Linked DNA regions of Caenorhabditis elegans. The protein of the gene in region 1 purifies or fractionates together with the protein of each later gene. This does not show direct contact. Each region holds a gene or a part of one and is shown in the gene's direction. Other genes may lie near its edges.

Evidence for each region.
Region 2: the proteins of irg-4 (region 1) and cutl-15 fractionate together in Caenorhabditis elegans (co-fractionation; one large-scale study listed by BioGRID). This does not show direct contact.

The regions. Positions count from the first base shown.
Region 1 is NC_003282.8:12,434,127-12,438,769, forward strand, and holds irg-4 (CUB-like domain-containing protein), read left to right. Parts: upstream 1-1,706; 5' UTR 1,707-1,724; coding exon 1,725-1,776; intron 1,777-1,820; coding exon 1,821-1,930; intron 1,931-1,983; coding exon 1,984-2,096; intron 2,097-2,141; coding exon 2,142-2,260; intron 2,261-2,308; coding exon 2,309-2,421; intron 2,422-2,807; coding exon 2,808-3,167; intron 3,168-3,893; coding exon 3,894-4,064; 3' UTR 4,065-4,110; downstream 4,111-4,643. Other genes in the region: clec-184 (C-type lectin domain-containing protein), read left to right, coding at 1-49, 96-192, 655-875; clec-185 (C-type lectin domain-containing protein), read left to right, coding at 4,553-4,634.
Region 2 is NC_003280.10:8,942,136-8,949,388, reverse strand, and holds cutl-15 (ZP domain-containing protein), read left to right. Parts: upstream 1-1,700; 5' UTR 1,701-1,804; coding exon 1,805-1,923; intron 1,924-2,826; exon of another isoform or gene 2,827-2,971; intron 2,972-4,630; coding exon 4,631-4,727; intron 4,728-4,779; coding exon 4,780-4,847; intron 4,848-4,890; coding exon 4,891-5,176; intron 5,177-5,299; coding exon 5,300-5,562; intron 5,563-5,717; coding exon 5,718-5,964; intron 5,965-6,423; coding exon 6,424-6,501; 3' UTR 6,502-6,733; downstream 6,734-7,253. Other genes in the region: T21B10.4 (uncharacterized protein), read right to left, coding at 6,951-7,052, 7,097-7,253.

The DNA.
Region 1 (4,643 bases):
ATCCAATTGCCCGGTTCCAGCGGTTAATTTCAAGGGTTTATGCTACAAGGTAACATTTTCAAAGAATCTGAAATGAGGAAATGGATTTTTTTCAGATGTGCCGGGGTCTTGTAAAGTTCGAAGACAGCTGTACATGGTGTAATGGAACAATGGCTACAATTTCTAGTGGAGAAGAAAATGATTTTGTTTCCAGTAAGAATTTCAATTAGGTTATGGTGACCAAGGGTGTCAAGTCCCTTATCCCGTTTATCGCGTTGTCCCGTTTTTTGTGTGTTTTCACGGAAACGGGACGTCCCGCTGTCCCGTTTTTGTAATTTTTACGGGACATTGACACCCTTGATGACCGACATCTCCCGGGTATTTACAGTTTTTTAAACGAAAACAAAAATAGAAAATTGTTTCAAAAATTGGAAAGTTTGCTGCGTGCCCTGGGAAAAAAAACTCGGCCATATTTATAGGCAGGCAAAAATTCAGGCGTACTTGACCTACAAGCTTGCCTACCGCTTATTTTCTGAATTTTTTCCCATATTTGCGCACTGTAGATTAACCATTTTCTCAGTTAAATTAGTTTTGCAAATCCAATAAAAAAAAACGTTCAAGTGTACTCTTAACGAAGGCACTGGAAAATACCACCATTTCTGTTCGATTTTTAAGGGGTCTTTGGATCAAATGATGAGACAACACGTCAAATCTGGATTGGCAACACTGAATCCAGTGGTTATCTAAACTGGTCTCAAGGCCAACCTACAAAACCGAATGATGGCTTGGATTATTGTATTTCAATGGACTTGAGTGCAGGATCTACTAGAGGAAAATATAAATATTTACCATGTCAGAGTACAGTTATTAATTCGTTATGTGTAATGAATCCTTGAATAATTGACTTGTCAAATGAACAATTTTATCAAATCTCAGACAATCAGAAAACCACTCAATTAATAATCTGCTTTTAGAACATTACCTGATTTTTCTCATCACATTCAAAATGAAATCATATTGATCTACTGCTTATCAGTTTGCGACAAACTGTCCTGAAAATCCAACTATTCTGTGGTATTTGTAGTACATCCTCCAAAAAAAAATCAAGTCATTGAAATTATTTCATTTTGTGCAGAAAAGTGCAGAAAAATGCTCTCATTTAAAAACATTTGAGTATTTTGGATATAAAAAGTGGCAAAATTAATTATGTAGAACCATTCATTATTAGTTGAAAATGAAGGAAATAACAAAAATTGGTCGTTGATTCAATTCAATTTTGCACCGGGTACACTCAAATCTTCCCGCATAAAATCAGGTTTGGTAGTACTGAATTAGCATAGGTACCCAGAATCGGAAAACATGTGAACAGTACATGAAGAAGACTAGACAGGAAACATTTATTGTGAATTAAAAATTATTCCAAAGCGCGGTGGAGCATTATCTGAAAGTCTACAAAACCACAGCCCACACAACTATTATCAGAAATGTCTTATCAGATTTAAAATGAAATCAGATTCAAAAATTGATATGGATGCTTATCAGTTTGTGCCAAACTGTCCTAAAAAATCAAACTATTGTGTAGATTCTGTATACACATCCTCCAAAAAAGATCAAATCATTGAAATGATTTCATTTTGGCCGCGGAAGAGCAGAAAAACGGTGACATTAAAGAGCATTTGAGATAACCGATTCGAATATAAAAAAGTTGAAATTAAATATGTAGAACTATTCATTATCAATTGACAATGAAGACATTATTGTGGTTTTTAGTCTTCGTTGGAGTTTCGAATGCGTTAGGTAAGCTTACTGATGGTAAAACTAGAATATCAGCTCTTTTTTAGACTGCACTCAAATTCCGGCTGGTGGTATTGTCCCTAGACATAATGCGACTATTCCAGCGGGAGCCAAGGAACCAGTGCTAATTCCACCAAACTTTAATTGTCTTTATAATGTAAGTAGGGACGGTGTTTTCAGGGTGTTTTACTATTAAAAACTCCTTTCTAGATCAAAGTTCCAGCTATGGTATATGCTCGTGTTGTTCTGGAAAACGGATTGAATGGAAACAATGATCAGATAACTGTTACAAATGAGCAAAACGCGAAGACATTCATCAACAGGTAGGCTTTGAAATGTAACATTTAAAACAGGAATTTTAATTTTAGTCGTTCTGGAAAGTATGCAACTTTCTATGTATTTCCAAATACTCTCACAAGTTTCCTAGTTTCCACGAAAAGTGTTAATATGCACTCATCGTTCCGAATGGTGGTTGACTATTATTCATGTAAGTACAAATATGAGTAATCTGAAATATTTCGAAACAACATTTCAGTGAACAACGCGACAGTTACTTATTTGGACAACCCAGATATGCAATATTCTCGCTTGTACACTTTGCAAGCTGAAATCGGCTGGAGCCCACGAACCATTGTGGCAAAGGAGAGGGTGGGGAATTTTTAATTTGAATTTATTAGCAACTTTGAAAATTTTCTCTCCCACGAAACATTTTTAATCAAAATTTTCGTCCAAAACTATTTAATTATTTTGATTCAATAATTAAAATTATTTTCGATAAATCGACACGCATATTATGCATATATCAAACGAAAACTTGCGTAGTTATAGTTAGCTTTTTCGTTCACTTTACTATTTTTGTGTTCCAAAAATATAGCGATTTACCGAGTATGCCGACTACGGCAAAAATTGATCCGCGAGAGTGTAGGCATGAAAAGTGCGTTGTTCGCCGTGCAGGCAGTCATATCTTAATTATGCATAGAAACCTCAAGAAGACCCAACTTTACAAAAAAACTTCTTCCTACTTCGTAATTCAGATGTCCATTTCCATCGCATACTCCGGCTGGACACCCTATGACAATTTGTACAACTTTTTCTTGATTGAAGGAGATTTGGAGAACCCATTAGCAATCTACCGTATGACTCAATTTTTGTACCAAAACTATATCAGTAAAGGAAACAAAGTTACTGTTCTTGGATTGGATAACACGTTTTCGAGAAGCTCAATTGTATTTGTCCCACTGTCACAAGCTCAACAATATGATTCATATACAGCGGCAAGTGGCTATATGAATCTGAATCAAGTGGATATTGATGCAACTGTCGGAGAAAAGAAAAAGAAAATTGTCACAATGATTTCAATGCGAGATTATGTTATGATTTGGAAAATGGAAAAGGTGAGAACATGAAGGTGGAGTAGCGTGAATTTAGCTCCAAATACGCTCTCCACCAAAACTTTTCAAAATTGTTTTTTTTTTCAATTTTGCTTAAATTTTTAAAAGAGCTAATTATTGTTGAATTGAATTTTTTGAACTAAAATAAAATATAAATTTCACAAAACTAGATCACTCATTTGCCCGAGAATTCAAAACTAATTCAGCCCATTTTTGTTGCAAAATTGAAAAAGTCATAAACATTTTTGAAAAATTCTATACTATTTTTACAGTTAAATTAGGAACATTATGCATGTTTTGTGTCATTTAGGAAACCTGTAATGTAAAGTAATGGGCAAAATATTTTTGCTGTTGACAAAACTATTATTAACTTTACTGTAAAAAATAACATATTGCTGGCTCGTTTTGGATTATAATTTGAAAATTGAAAGAAAATTGAATGAAGCCTTGCACAAAATTGATCAAGATTTAAAGTTTTGGTTTTTTGAAAATCCTGACCAAATCAATTCTCTAAAATTTTCTAATATAAGACTAGTAGTTCAAATTTAAAAAAAATGTTTTCATCTAAAAATGTTCCAGTTCCTAGTGAAAATTTAAAAAAAAGAAGTAGGGAATTTAAAAAAAGTTTATTAATTTCCATTAAACATAAAACATTAAAAATTAAGCATCCTAAAATTTTCTAAATACGAATAATGCTTAAAGCTATTTTCGCATTTTTCAAAATTCCAGACAAGTAACCCTGACTGTGTTCTGAAAGCAATTACATCTCCTCCAACAAGTGAATCAAAAGTGCTTCTCGATTTCTCGGTCGAAACCCAATTCCCGACAAACATCACTCGTCCATCGTTTTGCATTATTGCTGAAAACTGTGCTGCGTCGATCCAATTTATTGTTCTTTAAATAAAATATCGATTAAATTGTGTTTTAAATAAATATTATCATCTGCAAATTTTCATAATTTTATTTCATAAAAAATAAATTGAAACTCATTAATTAATATTATTGATAATGAAAACTCGATGAGAAAAAAATGTTAAATAAATAATCAATAAATTAATTTAAAAAAACATCGCCCGCATTTTAAAGCTCCTTAAAAGTGTAGATTCCGACCTTGTCAAAAATATTTCTTAATCACAAACATTCTCTCAAAGACTACAATTTTTCATAGTTTTCAGAAATTTTTGAACACTTCGGCAGTTCCAGTCATCATCAATCGTGCAAGTTCATGATTTATTTTCCAATTGGTCTTTGTACAAATTCTCAATTGAACTTTTGCGTCTAGCAATTTTTTGAAACCAAAAGATTAGTGTGGGTGGGGGTATGTGCCAAATACCGATGTGAATGTAATAGAAAATCTGAATAATTCACAGTAGGTCACAGATTTTGAAATGCCAGACATGGTTTTTCGTATTATTCTCGTCGTTTCTTGTTTTACATCGTTTTCTTGCAAGCCGAAAGTCAAAATTCAACGTGGGTTTT
Region 2 (7,253 bases), on another chromosome or scaffold:
TTGACAAAAACTTTAGTATGGCAGATACAATCTATATAAAAATAAGTTTAAAGATTGTATTCTTTGATATTTCCAAAATAATTATACTGTTAGTTATCATAATTTTAAATTACGGGTTTACTAAAAAATACTTTTGTATATATAAATTGACATTGACCACTCATTTCCTTTTCCAGGCCTTCATTTTGCTATTTGTAATAATTCGGAAAACATGGAAATGACAGCATTCTTCATCTTTTTTCCCCAGTTATCTTCTGGTTTGGTTTGCATAGTTTCCTTCTAAAATATCAACGGTTTTTATTCTTAATTTCCATTCTTACAAACCATCTCGTTTATCTGTCTGGATTGCGCAAGCTTCTGCTTCGTTTTTCCACCGTTTTTTAATGTTCAATGTGTACCGCCCATCTCATCTGATCACCTTCTTCTTATTGTTGTTCCTGCATCATCATCATCGTTATCCATTCCACTCCTCAAATCACTATTACGCATTAATTATGTCACATTTATTGGAGAGAAAGCATCACATCTTTTGGAAAAGCATTACATATCCCTTTTACAAAGATAATCTAATTTCAGTCCGAATAGGATTCACATTTCAGATGAATAGAAAAAGACGAAGAATACGAAAAATGTAAAGAGTATAAGAAAGAGCAGAGGTTGAATTCTAAACTCTAGATCCAATACAGCTTAACGTAGTTTTGGTATTCCTCACCGCCTATTCATTTTCAGTCCTCTAGGCCTTTTCAGTCCAATGTTTTACTTCTGAAATAATTTATATTCATCATAGGCCCTTGGATTCAAAAATTAAATTGGGTAAAGTTTGAATTTTACATTTTCCGCTCAAGTTTAAAAGATCTCCAAATATCTTATAGCTAATCATTCCCAAACATTGATTTTGAAATTTTTTTTATTTTAATCCAAGAAGTATGTCTATACTATTGACATTTTGATAACGCTCGTTTTTTAAAAGTTTACTATAAACTTTTTCTCGATTATTTCATCACAACCTTTTTCAACATTTTGCTGAAATATTCATTTTACGACCTAATTTCTCACCTATTCAACTTTCGATTTCCTTTACATGTTTCAATCATTTTTCACTTTTCACTCAATTTATAAACCCACAGGAGTTTTTAATCAAGTCAAGTTGTTCAAGACGTCGTAAATAAGCCACATTATGTATTGCCAAATATTTGTTTGTCAGTGTGAAATGGAAATGACCATGTGTTATAAGTATAGATAATGACACAAATTATACGCTTTCTGCCGCTTTTGAGTGTATCAGGAAAATGAAAAGAATTGAGTGGTATCTCTTTCTGAGAGCATGTTGAAAATATTTTCCAGTTTTTCCAGTTCTTCCAAATTAGAGTGGTGAGGAATTGATTTGAATTTGAAAAGCTGACAATGAAAGTTTTTATGAATTTTGCTCAGAATTGCTCAAATGACTGAAAATGCGGGTTACAAGAAATCCTTGGAGGCCTTCAGCATTTTCCCGATTTTTTGCAAGTCTCTACCAATTCGTTTCAATGTTTCTGACCAGTCTGACACCTTTTTGTGTTTTCTGGCTTCTCATAAATATTCTTCAGAATTTTCTCACCTTTTCACCTTTTTCGTTGACATGTCTAATTCTCTTCTTCTCATACAATATCTCTTCTCCTCTCCATTTTCTCTCTTACACACCAAAATAAACGTTTTTGTGGGCGTGGCCGTCATCGTCCCCTAGTCGTTGTCGCGGCGGCACACCAGAATTGGAGCCCACGGCTCGTGTTGTGGCGATTCTCCAAATAAAGCACATAAATCGGTGATGAACTGGCGATTCTCGATGCTTTTGCTGCTTTTATTGTGTTTCGACGGACCCGGTATCAAGTGTCAAGATGAAGAACCAACGCCGAGAAATGAGGTTCTAGGAGAGCCTACGGTCAGGTTAGTTGAGGTTTTTGATTCGAAATGGGGTTATTGTATATTAACGATTATTCAGTGACCAATTCCCTCAATAATGACCATGGTGGGGCAACTATTTTTGAGTCATTCGCACTTAGTGAATGCAAAAGCGCCAGCAATGAGCCAAGTTATTGAAGCTCAAAGTTTGTACATTTTTGTCGGACACTCACCTGTCGAAAAGTTGCCCTTATTTTTTATTTCTGTCAAGAATGCAATTTCCGGATTTAATATAGGAAGAGGCAGAAAATTTAATTATGTTTTCATCTAAATAATATCGTCGGTTTTGCGTGAAATTTTTTAGCCTCAAATGTGATGAAGCCGGCAGACGTAAATCTATAGATTTTTTTTCTCGAAAGTGACCATTGTGATTTTTGACATTATTGTATAGCTTGTAAAGCACCTGTAGCCTAATAAACAACTCACGGAAATTTACTCAAAATTAGCTTTGATATTTTTAGTATTTTAGGAAAAATGTTTTTGGTGACCTATATCAATGATCCGTTTTCGAATTAGGTTTAATTTGCCAGTTTGTGGTCAAGCTCAACATTTTCCTAATAAAAAGTTTAGAAAAAAATCGCACAATATGATTGGCTCTAACATTAGTTCTAACTAATTTTAAACGCATATTTCTGCTATTGGCGCAATTCATTTTATTCCAAAATTTAAAACAGCTTAAAGATTTTCTGAACTATCCAGAATACCACCGAAACTCAGAAATTCAACTTTAATTTCCTGAAGCTTCCCTTAAGCTTGTGGAAATTAAAACAGAAGTAATCAACTAAAATCTATCCCATCTTTCAAGATTAGCTGCAATCGTACATATCCTATCCTTTTGAGAGCTCTATTTTTAATGTAGACGCTGCTTCTTTTTCTTGCTTTCCTTTACGTACGTTTGGTGTCACAATGCGCAGGATTAATGGCTTCGAAAGGGGTTTCCAAAAGGCGAAGAGTATCACATTTGCATATTTGACCGCCTAAACGGAATGTTGAAGTTAGTGTATTGGAAGAAGAAGCGCAGAGGTTTTAGGCAAAAAGGAAATCAAATGGGTTTCTGAACGGAAGTTTGTTTCGTAAAGAATGAAGGAAATAAGAAAATGACAAAAAGAGGCGACATATGTCAGACAAAGAGTACTGTAGATTTTGAACTTTGAAGTCTGAACTTAATATCCGTGCGGTATCTTTTCAAAACCAGGATATACAGTTCCACTGTATTAGTATTGTCATTTTCCAAATTTCATTTTGTTTGCCAGATTGCTCAAATTTCACGTTTTTCATTCAAATCGGGCTCGGTAAAATTTTCTTGAGCATATTTGTATAGTACAGGTAAATACACAGATTTTTCATGCCTTTCGCTTTTTGAATTGTGATGAAAGATACATTAAAATGGGGTTTTTTGACTTATCGTTAAGAGCAAGAAGTTAAAATAATCGAGCGAAAACTTAGGTATTTATTAGATGTTGAACTATCTCCCGATAGGTATCAATCACACAAACCAGATTTTCAAAGTTAGAAATCAGAATTGATTTTTTTGACAAAGATGTTTTTCTTTCTATTTTCTTAAGCTTATTTTCTAGAAAAGCCAATAACAAAAAAGATAAAAGTGACCAAATTTTGGTAAATAATATTGTGTATATATTAGTAGACCCAATTTTTGTGTCAAACGTATAATAACAATTGGTTTGCACATGCATCCAATCATGTATATTTTGACCCTACACCATCATGTTACTCTGGGTCGGAAGCCGTCATTCAGTGGTCGAAATCGAATGCCATTTCATTTCATTTTATGCAATACCAAACAACAAGACAGCTCCATGCAAAAAGGGGAGCCTGCTCAAACATTTGTACTGCGTCTCTTGATTCAAAAGACTATTTCAAGATTCTTCCGTAAAAACCTCATCATCTTTCGAGTATTTTATATTAAAATTGCACCACCGATTTACATATTAGTTTGCGGAAAGTATGAGTTTTTATGAAAAGTGGGTCTGAAATGTTGATCCTTGATCAAGATATCGAGCAAGAAAAAAGGATAAGGTAGCAAAAAAGAAAACGACGAGTTGATTCAATTTTGGGACGAAGAAGAGCAGGGTTTCAAACTCGATTGCGGTTTCAAAATGACGGAAAGGAAAGAAAAAGAAGAATAGGTTGAGAATAGAAAATACGGAATATATGTATTTGACACAAAAACGAAGAAAAAACATGTTTTTGAAAGTAAAAAGGAAGGAGAAGTTGAAGATGAATTTGAATATTTCTTTGAAGGGATTGAAAATGCCTGCCTAGGCATTTGTAACTTGTTTCGAAGGCAACCTACATCTACTTTAACGTTGTTTCCTAGGATTTGCTCAACAAATATTTTTGAAATGCTCATGTACCTAGTAATTTCTTCTTTTTTTATAAACCTTATTTAAAATTTGAAACATCTAATCTTGCCTACCTTTTAATATTTTTTCACATAAAAAGAATTCGTAATTTTCAATTAGGAAACAATTGTTAAAACTTTATGATCAGTTGACCTGAAACCTGATCAGTCTCAGATCCAATTTTTGGTAGTGTCTTTTGATAATTTAGGTTCCAATATCTAGAAACCAAAAATATAAAAATTATTATAAAACAGATACGGTTTAATAAAAAAAATAGTTATCAAACACTCAATTTTCTGATTTCTGAGTTATTTCAACATACATTCCAGTTGCGCAGCAGATGCAATCTACGTTAAGCTTCGCACAAAATCAACATTTCTGGGTCATGTGGATGTTAAGTATTCTCCAGACAAAGCATGCTTTCAGGTAACGGAATCATAAAAATACAAGAAATTTCATAACCCGTGAGGCTTTGCAGAGCCTCGTGACAAATAATCAAATTGAGATTCTGATTCCCCATGAGGAATGTATGGTGCCACGGAGGAGGTATGTTTTAGTTAAATTATATTTCAACTGTAAATATTTTCAGAAGTCTGCACCCAACAGGAGTAATTCTAGAAGTATCTTTATCAGTTTCATTTCATCCAGAATTCACAACTGTAGATGATCGAATATTTAATATGCAATGTTTCCATCAAAAGAAAATAAATGGAACATCAACTTCCTTGGCAATTGGATCTCCAAAACCTCCTCCATCAGATACCAAAGGACCAAGTTGTTCATATGAAGTATTAACAAGTCCCGGAGGGTTACCTGCCGGTCGGTTGGCTCTTGGACAAGACGTTTATCATTCATGGCAGTGCCAAAATGTTTATGTAAGTTTTTGAAAAATTTTAAAAATGTTTATTTTTATGAAGTAATTCTGGGTTTTTTTTCTGAAAACAGTCACCAGTATCGTTCGTAAATGTTCAAATTGACCAACGTACTAAGTTTTGTAGGAGTCATGCATAATGATCGAAAACTGTGAGCTTGTTGGTGGTGAAGAAACTCACGAAGTAATCGATTCATCTGGATGTTCAAAACATGAATCAATAATGCCACAACTTGAATATCACAATCGAACTCATGTGGGAACATCTGTTAAAGTATTTGGAGTATCTCATACTTCAATTGTATATTTTGCATGTCAAGTCCGTCTTCATCCACAACTTCCAACTGGGGAATGCCCTAAACCAAAATGTGATTTGATGAGGAGGAAAAGGTAAGAAAATTGATCTTATGGACCGTTAGTTTATTAGGCATTCTGATAATTTTTGAAAATTTGGTATTATTTAAAGTGAGAGTAGCGTCGGGAGATTTTTCCGCTAAATGAATCCTTATCTTGACGAAATATTTTACAATTAAAACCATTTTCAGAGAAGACTCATCTCAATTTCCATCCATTGATGTTCGAAGTCAAAATCTAGAAATATCTCAATTGATCAACATCACATCATCTACAATGACTCCACACCCAACAGAACCACCAATTCAACACACATGTCCGGATATCCACGTGGAAACTGAATCAATTGAAGAGGCTTCAGAATCGAAGGCACTTGACGAAGAAAGAATATGTGCAGATTTTAGATCAGTTCTAGTTGTTAGTATTTTATTAACAGTGGTGAGTACTTACCAAGTTTTTCTACGGTTTTCGTAATTTTCAAAAATCTCGTATGATTTTGAAGGAACCAAGAAAAAGTTAAGATGTCTATTACTTATCAATTTTCCGATTTCTTGCCCAAAAATACGGTCTCGACACGACCAATGTTTCAAATGCAAACGTGTTTCATTAAGGAGTACTATACTTCCAAATTTTTTTGTTGAATCTTTTATCAAATTAAATAAATAGTTAGTAATGCTTGCATTATTATTTTAACTTTTCTTACTTTATAGTTTTTCAAAGACTTTTGAGGCAACAGGAGAGAAGTTATAAAAAAGTGACAAGTTGGGAAGTACAGTACTCCTCGGAGGCGCACACACTTTGGAGTTCAAATAATCAGTCGTGGCGAGACCATGTTTGATACTTTCAGAGCAGACATCGCTGAAAAGCCTGAATTTTTATATTAATTTTCATTTTCAGGCCTTAATCCTGATCACAACGACAATTGTGATTCTCATTGTTCGCCGACAAAAATATGAAATCGCCAGCATGTCATAATTTGCTCATTTTGTCATTTTTGCTCCATTTTCCAACTCCGATCTCATTTTGTTATCTTTGACATTTTCTCTCTCTCACTTTTCTGACTTTCTCTCTTTACGGATTCTCTTTTCCGGTGCGCCTTTGGCCATTCCCATTGACCTATGTTCTTATCTGCCATCACAGGGTTCTTTTTTCTTAAACTTATTTATTTTGGTTGGAAAAGCAATGAAAGTTTTCCTCACAATTCAAAAATTACAAAATAAATTAGAACTGCAGAGGAGATGTGCAAAAGGAATGGAACAGGGGTAAATGAATAACAAATAAAACTGAATAACAAATAAAACTCAAGTAAGTTGATGTGTGATAGGAGATGGGAAGAACAGTATACTATTATATAAAAAGGGACAGTGAACAGGTTTTGAGTTAATTGCTAGAACTGAAAATGATAAAAGTGTGGGGAAAATAAATTAATTCCATTTGTCGACAGAAACATCGAGAAGAGCAGGATCGTAGTATGCTGATTGGAAACTTCTTTGCTTGGCGACAAATAGAGATGCCTCCGTTTCGAACTGGAAAATATAATATTTTTAAAGAAAAATCGACGATATTTAACCTCAGTGGGAAGAGCTCTCTCTTCAATTGCCACGAAAGTAGAACGAAGCCAGTAGATGTAGACGTAGAGAAGCATGATAATCATAAACATGATGATACAGACAACGAGCAGCCACATTACAACATTTGTTGGCTCGTCTTCAAAAACTTGCTTGGAA